Coturnix japonica: one gene and its partner. The protein of the gene in region 1 purifies or fractionates together with the protein of each later gene. This does not show direct contact. Links are inferred from orthologs where the notes say so. Each region holds a gene or a part of one and is shown on either strand. Other genes may lie near its edges. The genes, in order: CAPN2 and SPATA5L1.

The links.
Region 2: the proteins of CAPN2 (region 1) and SPATA5L1 purify together in Homo sapiens (co-immunoprecipitation; 3 studies listed by BioGRID and IntAct, with this or other methods). This does not show direct contact. The link is inferred for Coturnix japonica from reciprocal best matches to the Homo sapiens genes CAPN2 and AFG2B.

Annotation. Positions count from the first base shown.
Region 1 is NC_029518.1:15,399,416-15,403,733, reverse strand, and holds the start of CAPN2 (calpain-2 catalytic subunit), read left to right. Parts: upstream 1-1,232; 5' UTR 1,233-1,328; coding exon 1,329-1,724; intron 1,725-1,841; coding exon 1,842-1,911; intron 1,912-4,318. UniProt on the Homo sapiens protein: Calcium-regulated non-lysosomal thiol-protease which catalyzes limited proteolysis of substrates involved in cytoskeletal remodeling and signal transduction. Proteolytically cleaves MYOC at 'Arg-226'.
Region 2 is NC_029525.1:9,455,262-9,458,958, reverse strand, and holds the end of SPATA5L1 (spermatogenesis-associated protein 5-like protein 1), read right to left. Parts: intron 3,507-3,697; coding exon 3,297-3,506; intron 2,885-3,296; coding exon 2,657-2,884; intron 2,190-2,656; coding exon 2,055-2,189; coding exon of another isoform or gene 1,968-2,054; exon of another isoform or gene 1,926-1,967; intron 1,401-1,925; coding exon 1,275-1,400; intron 1,018-1,274; coding exon 865-1,017; 3' UTR 726-864; downstream 1-725. Other genes in the region: C10H15orf48 (normal mucosa of esophagus-specific gene 1 protein), read right to left, coding at 26-114, 247-288. UniProt on the Homo sapiens protein: ATP-dependent chaperone part of the 55LCC heterohexameric ATPase complex which is chromatin-associated and promotes replisome proteostasis to maintain replication fork progression and genome stability.

The DNA of each region.
Region 1 (4,318 bases):
GCCTTGGCTGGGCTTCGTGCTGGTGAGGAAACCTCCAGCCCCAAAGGGGAAAGCAAATCCCTTTGTTGTGTAACACCACCAGTGCTGCCAGCCTTCTCCTTTAGGAAGCCATCTCCATCTGGGGATGCTCTTGGGGAGGAGAGCAGCACGGCCCCCTGCTCCACTCCCTGGACCATTGGGCAGACTTTATCTTCCATCCCCACAATATCTGTGTGTTGTGTAGGGCAGAAAGAGTATCAGGAAGGCAAATGAAAAGAGAATCATGGAATCATTTGGGTTGGAAGGGACCCCAAAGTTCATCTGGTCCAACTGCCCTGCAATGAATGGCAACAGCTACAGCTCAGTCAGGTTCTCAGAGCCCTGTCCAGCCTGACCTAGAGTGTTTCCAGGGATGGGGCACCCACCATCTCTCTGGGCAACTTGTGTCAGTGCCTCACCACTCTCATTTGTTAAGAACTTCTTCCTTATACCAAATCTAAATCTCCCATCTTTTGGTTTGAAACCATTTCCCCTTGTCCTATCACAACAGTCCCTGCTAATGAGTCTGTCTCCTTCTATCTTATAGCCCCCCTTTAGAAGGGAGACAGATGCTGTGAGGTGTGTGGAGAGGCCCTCTTTTCTAGGCTAGTGAAAACCACTGCTTTAAACTGACATTAGTTTCCTTCTGTTGTGGCTGTTGAAAATGAGGTTAGTCTGATCTGTGGCGGCTGTACAGCTCTGATCCACTGTGTGGAGCCAAACCAGTGCCTTTGGAGCAGCTCTGTGGTTACGTGGCTCCCCGCAGCTTACATTACAGGGCTAAGACGGTGTTAATGAAAGGTTTCTCCCACTGATCAGCTGAAAATGTTTTTATTGCTTTTATTGCACCCAGTGCTGCTCACACACGTTGTCTGCAGACCCTTCACCGTCTTTGTTGCTCACTTTTGGATGCCCTATGACACAGTGATGTCTGTCTTATGTTGTGGCATAAGACCCAGTGCAGGAGGAGAGGCCGTGCAGCTCAGAGCAGTGGGACAAGCCCTCCCCTCCATCCAGCTGGAGGCATCCAGGCTGTGACTGGCCTCTGGGGGCTCCAGGGCACACTAGGAGTTCAGTCTAAACTAGGAGTTCAGTCCAACAGGACGGCTCCAAACGAGCCCTACGTGCTCTCAGAGCCCGGGATCCGCTGCCCCAAAAGCGGTGCCTCCCCGTTCCGCCGTGCAGTGCAGTGAGTCAGCCACGAAGCACGGCACCAACAGCCCGAGCTCTCGCAGTGCGGACAGCCCTCCCGTAGCGATGCCAGCGGCGCCGGGGCAGGATAGGCGGCACGGGGGGCTCCGCACGGACAGATGCCATCCTCGGACACGTGCGGGGCTTTGCTTCCCTGCAACCCCACGAGGGATTTTTGGTCGGGATGGGCCTCGCCGTTCCCCTCCCACGACCCGCGGGGTGCGACACGCCCGGGGCGGCCCCGTGACGGAGAGGCGTGTCTGCGGGGCGGCGGGGCGATGGCGGGGATGGCGGCGGCGCTGGCGAAGGAGCGAGCGGCGGCGGCGGGTGCGGGGCGGCACGAGCAGGCGGTGCCGTACCTGGGGCAGAACTTCGGGGCGCTGCGCAGGGAGTGCCTGCAGGACGGCCGCCTCTTCCAGGACCCCTCCTTCCCCGCCTGCCCCGCCGCTCTCGGTTATCGCGAGCTGGGGCCCAACTCGTACAAAACGAAGGGCGTCGTCTGGCTTAGACCTACGGTAGGTGCCCAGCTCGGGGTGCCCGAGATGCGCGGTGCACTCCGGCTCCATCCCCGCCGTTGTGTCTCTCTCGGCTCCCTCCTCCTCCTCTCGTAACTCGGGCTCGTTCTGTTCCAGGAGCTGTGTTCCTCCCCCCGGTTCATCTCCGGCGGAGCCACGCGCACCGACATCTGCCAAGGAGCGCTGGGTAAGCGCTGCGCCGTGCGGGTTCGCACTGTGCTGTACCCTCCCTTTCCCATCGTTTCGCCCCGTGTCATGTTGGAGCAGGAAGGATGCGGGCAGGTTTTCCATTTCCCGATTGCTGCCTGCCTTTGTGCGCTCCTCAGCCTGACTCACGGTTGCCGTTAGCAGCACGGCAGCGCATAAAGGATGTGCATGTTTTGGAGCGGGCCCAGAGGAGGATGCTCAGAGAACTGGAGCCCCGTTGCCATAGCTGAGCAGTCAGATGTTCTCCTCAGGTTATGTGGTACCTCCAAAGAGTATGAACTGAGTCACAGCCTGTATTCCTTTCCCTACCGAAACAATATTTGAATAGGAGGCTGTTAGCATTCAGGTTTGTTCTCAGCATGACTAACTGCTGCTGTGACTGGCCTCCCTATCTTCTTACCAATCTGTGTGAGGGAGTTGTCTTCTCTGTATCTTACTGATGAACTAATTCAATGCTATGGGGTTTTCCTCTGTAGCCGCTGAGTTACTAAGACCCTGCTTTGAATCTATGTTCTTTCTCACAGATGTTCTATGTAAATGCTTCTTTTCTTTGCTTTTGCCTCTTCTGACACTCAGCTTTGCACTGAGAGATTTACCTAAGCTTCCATTTACTTGAACTTCACTTGCTAACACTGATGTCACATCATGTTTTGTGAGGTTCCAAAGAACATTGCACTAGAATACATCAGGTGCTCTTGGAAATCTGCATTTTATATTACTGTATTGCTGTTTGTCCATAGAAAACTAGTGGCCTATTTATCACCCAAAAAGCTTGATCAGAAAGCAACAGGCCTGTGCCCACGCAGAGTTTTACAACTGGTGCTCACCCATTTGGAGTATCTTAGAGTACGTATCCAAAGCACATGCACCTGTCACTGCTGGGACACACTTCTTGGCATGAATCTCTAGCACAGAAAAGCTCACTGGGTTCTCAGGACAACAAAGCTCTTCCCTTTTGGCTTTGGGTTAGCCATTATTCTGCTTTACAATTGTTATTCAGAAGCTTTTTAGGACAAGTATTCAGAATCAATTTTGCAGTATCAGGTCTGCAGTTAATTATGGGCTTTGGTCCAGAGCTGCAGCAAATGGGATGTGGTGATTCATCACAGCAGAAGAACCAAAGCAAATACAGAGGAAGTTATTCACCCTTAACCACATTCTTTGGAGGGATGTCACCATGGTATCACAACACTGAGGTGTACAGGGCGCAGTATCTTTTATACGCTGTTTAATCACAGATGTATCCTCCTTGAATACAGAGTTGTGGAAAAGTGATAAAGTGAGTAGGATGAATGTAGAAAATGAGATGCATGGTTTTCCCACGCTGAAAACCACTCTGTTATGAGTGAGTTGGCACAGCCTCTTGTCTCCAACCAGAAAATTTCTGGGGGGGTCCCACATTATTAATATAAATACATTCAGCCACTGACATAGTTGGTTAGCCCAGCCTGGCTGTCAGCCCTTTCAAATATTCCCTATACAGAACCTATACAAGCCTGAGATGCCAGACCTGCTTTGTGCACATCTGCAAAGCCTTGCAGGGAGGGGGGATGTGTGTCAGCACTGCTCAGATGGGCAGGCTGTGGGCAGTCCAGCAGGGATGGAAAGGGAAGGGTGGGTGCTCTGTGGGACAGCGAGCTTCCTGCACACCCCTGCCACCATGACCAGCTTCTGAGAGAGAATCTTTGTTTTACTGTGTTGGTTTAGTTGGCTGCTTATAAAGTCTGGAAATGAAAGCTCACATACGGCCAAACCAAATGTACAGTCCTACAGATAAACTCAGTCTTTTGACTCTGTGATCAATGATAGGTTATTTGGCCTATGTGCTGATGCCTGATAACCCACCAGCCTGTGATTTTTGCACGTCTCATGCCTGATGCTAGTGTTAAGGGTGCTTTGAGATTGTTTGTTAGAAATTAAACATGACCCTAGTGGTCTTTTCCTACCATAATGATTCTATGATTCTCCTAAGGAGGAGTTCTGAAATGCCATTTCTTCCTATGGGTTGCAGGAGTCAGGGGGTCGCTGGGTCCTTACATCTGTAACCACTTAGTTAATGAGCTTAACTGGAAAGTGACCACTCTGTTAAAACAACATTTGTTTCTGAAAATAAATGCAATAGTTGCAGTCTTGGAGAAGGATGGTGTGGAAAAGTACTGTCCAAACAGCCTGGACCCAGCCTGGCATGGTGTGTGTTGGCTCCATCTCAGGAAGAGTGAAGAGGTATGTAGGCCTGAAAAACAGTGCCTGCCTTCAGGTCTTTTCTGCCTTTCTGGTGACCAGCTCCAGACGGGATGTTGCACAGGACAAAGAGGCCTCTAACAAGCCTCCAGAGGTGTATAAGGTCAAAGGAACTCTTGTTTGGCAGGAGATTGCAAGGGAACTTT
Region 2 (3,697 bases), on another chromosome or scaffold:
GCAGCTCCCAGCAGCGTTCGCTTACATCACATCGGATTTGCTGACGAGGGAATAGACTGAAAAAGCAGCAGCCCCAACGGCAGCGCAGGACAAGACTCCGATCAGGGGGATGAGCTGAAAGACACCGAGGGGAGAGGTGAGCGCACGGAGCGGTCAGCAGGAGCGCAGAAGCGATACCCGCTGCATTGCCGGGCCCCGCTGTCCCCGCGCTGCGCTGCCCCGAGCGGTGCTGCCGGGCACACTTACTTCTTTCTTCTTTCTCAGCAGCTGGAAGAAGCTCGCGCTCATCCTGCCTGCGGACCGGCAGCAGATGGTCCCGTCAGAGCCCCGCTCCTCGGCACCGCTGGGACCCCGTTACCTGGCGGATGGGACAGGCCGGGCAGCACTCCGCGGTGCGGGCAGTGAGCTCTGCGCCCCTATATACGCGATGGGGCCGGGCGGTGCCGCCCACACGCCCCGCAGCCCGCACCCCATAACCCGCACACATCGGCATCGCAGCTCCAATGGTGCGGGCGGCCCCTGGCGGGCGGTGCGGGCGAAGCACAGAGGGCTGCGGCAGTGCAGCCCTACGGCCTGAAACTGAACGTCTATGGGACAGACAGAGCTGACCCTCAGCCACAGCTATAACGACAAACAGCCTCACTGTATCTCAATCATCCCCTCAGCCTCTGGCGACCCAACCCCAGCAACCACAGATCCATTCATCACTGACACCACAGATTTTCCAAAAGTGAAATTTTACTGTATTTCATACAAATTGAAAATGGCAATAAATACAGCGTGACAGAGCAGAAGACAAGACAGACTGCAAAGCTGTCCCATGATCCATTTACTAACACTCAGGCCACATAATTCCTTTAGGATTCAACAAGTTAATTCCCGACTATACATGTTTTCATAGAATTCCAAGTCTTTCATGCTTAAAGATGGCTTCACAGTCTGCAGTGATTTTACAAAGTGTTCGTGTTTTACAGCGGTCACTTCAAGTCCGTTCTCCTGCAACGCCAGCAGAGCAGCCTTAAAAAAAGAAAGGGAATATTAACAAGTGCTTCCTGGTTTTAAGCTGCACAGAAGTAACTGAACTGTGTTACACAAAATCAGACAACAGCACTGTAGGACTCCTGGTATTTATGAGTGATGAGACCAGTGTATGCCCCACATGCAGAATAAGCCGTACTGCAGATGGCTTAGTAATACATATAAATTAGTTCTTTTTCCCACTGAAAGGCCACATTTTATACTTTATTTCACAGATAACCACAAATATTTCTTACCTCCCTGCATAGATTTTCAATATCAGCCCCAGAGAACAGGTCTGTTAGTGCTGCTAGATCTTGTAGTGACACGTCAGTATCTAATGGAATTTTCTCTGTGCAGACTTTCAGGATGGAAAGCCTTCCCTGTGAGGTGGCACGTATCAATGAGAAAAAGCAAAGCAAACAATTACTCCCACTCCAAAACAGTCCTCAATTTCATGTTAAAATGAAGGAAACAGAGAAAAATACAAAAACAGAATTAGCAAGTTCTTGGTGAAAGAGTAAATGAAGTATTATTAATGGAGATCATATTTACTTTTATGGTTAACTCATATTCACATCTAGTATTCATAGTTACTCATTACTTCATAAAAATGGACTATTTGAGATATATGATTCCATATATCTCCTGCCTTGGGTCATCTCTTACGTTTTAGGGTGGGGAGGGAAGCTCAGGACAAGCATTTATACCACTGAATATTTACAGGGAACAATAAGGGTTTGAAGAAAGGGCAGCCAACTTCACATGATACTTCCTACAGCTTGTTTTCATGAATAGAGAAGTGCTCCAGGTTGTTGTCTGTTTTCTATGAGTAGCGTATCTACATCATCAGTTCAAATCTTTGTGGTACTTAAATTACAAATGTAATCATTCCCTTTTTTGGGTACCTTGAGTTCGGTAACTCATCTCCAGTGAGCTGTCTCTCAGTTCTAAAACACGCTATTAGATTGTTCTTTTTGCATCTCGGCAGTTTTTCTCTCTCCATTTAACACCAGGTATGGATTGTCATACAGCACCTTTAGATCCGGAGGTGGAATATAGATCACTCTGTCTAATCTTCCAGGGCGCAGCAAGGCATCATCCAACACATCTGGTCTATTTGTTGCAGCAACTACCATGATATCTCTGCTCAAAGTCTCCTGAAACTCCAGCTGAGTAAAGAGATGGTATGAAGGGATTAGTGCAACACAGTTAAAACAGAGATGGGTTAAGACATTTGTTAACTATTAGTGACAAAAGTGGGAGGGAGAATAGAAAATGCATCCCTGTATGTAATTATTTTCCTTTCAGTATCAGGACTTTGTTTTCTTGAGATGAAGAAATGAACCTATATAACAGCAAGAATGACGCAGCCTAAAAGAATAATCTATGTCAAGCAAGATGATTTTTGTGACACAAAAAGTACACCAGCTATTTCTGTTCATGAGCCTGTGTGGGTATTTTGTTCAAATAGTTTCATTGAGAAACAGACCTAAAAAACAGCGAGCAGCATTCAAACAGCATTATATAAAAATCAGAAATGATGATAAAGTAGAATAGCACCATCTTATTTTTGAACAGCTGGGCTGCACTTCTCATTTGTATCATATGTACCATACAGAAAAAGGAACATAAATACCTGTCTTTCCTCATCACTTGGTTCTTCACATCTCTCCTCAAGCTGTAGTTTATTTCCTCTTCTTTCCGTGACTTTCAGTCCAACACCATCCAACTCATTGAGAAGAACAGACAGCACCCGCTCTGAGACCCCACGGCCAGTTTTACTGTGCGATCGAGATCCCAGGATAGAATCAATTTCATCCAGGAATATAATTGCTGGAGAATTTGCTCTTGCTTGGCGGAAAACCTGATTTTTAAAATGAAATGTTAATGCACACGTTCTTTCAGATAAGGTGAATCCACCTGTTTACATATAGTCTTACTTAGGGATGAAGACTTAAATTCATTCACACTCAAAAAAGAAACATTCATCCAAGAAGCCTCTCCAGCTTCCATTCACTACAGGCAAATTCTGCCTCTGAATTAAATTCTGAAGTGAAATGAAAACAAGAGGGTAGAAATATTTTCAAAGCTGAAAACTGGCATCATGTTAGGGCTAGACTTCCTGTCCACACATACAGGAAACCTTAAGTTAGTTATCAATCCTAATCAAATAAGAGTTTTAACTACCATTTTTTCAAGAGAAAAATGCAGACCTGACTTACAAAAAAAATCAAGCAAAAAGAATTTTTACACCTTATACAAATTGGAAACTGTACCTGAGATAAAATCTTCTCTGAATCTCCAACATAAGGTGAGAACAGTTCAGCACCACTTACAGAGAGAAAGGAACAGTGACAACTTGTGGCCACAGCCTTCACCAGTGTGGTTTTGGCACAGCCCGATGGCCCGTAGAGAAGAACACCCTTTGGACGAGACAGGCCCATCCTCACAAATGCCTGAGGAAATTTCATGGGCCACTCCACACTCTGTCAACACATAAACAAGGGATGAAATTCTCGGTGACAGAACTGAAGATCAAAGACAACCAACAAAACAGCGGAGCACAATACTCCAACTCTTTAGTGCATATATTAATTTGAAAGCAACGCATAATGCTAATTTGGTCTTCCTTGGTAGAAAAAACACAAAGCCACCCTTCTGGAGCTTCCCTCTCAGT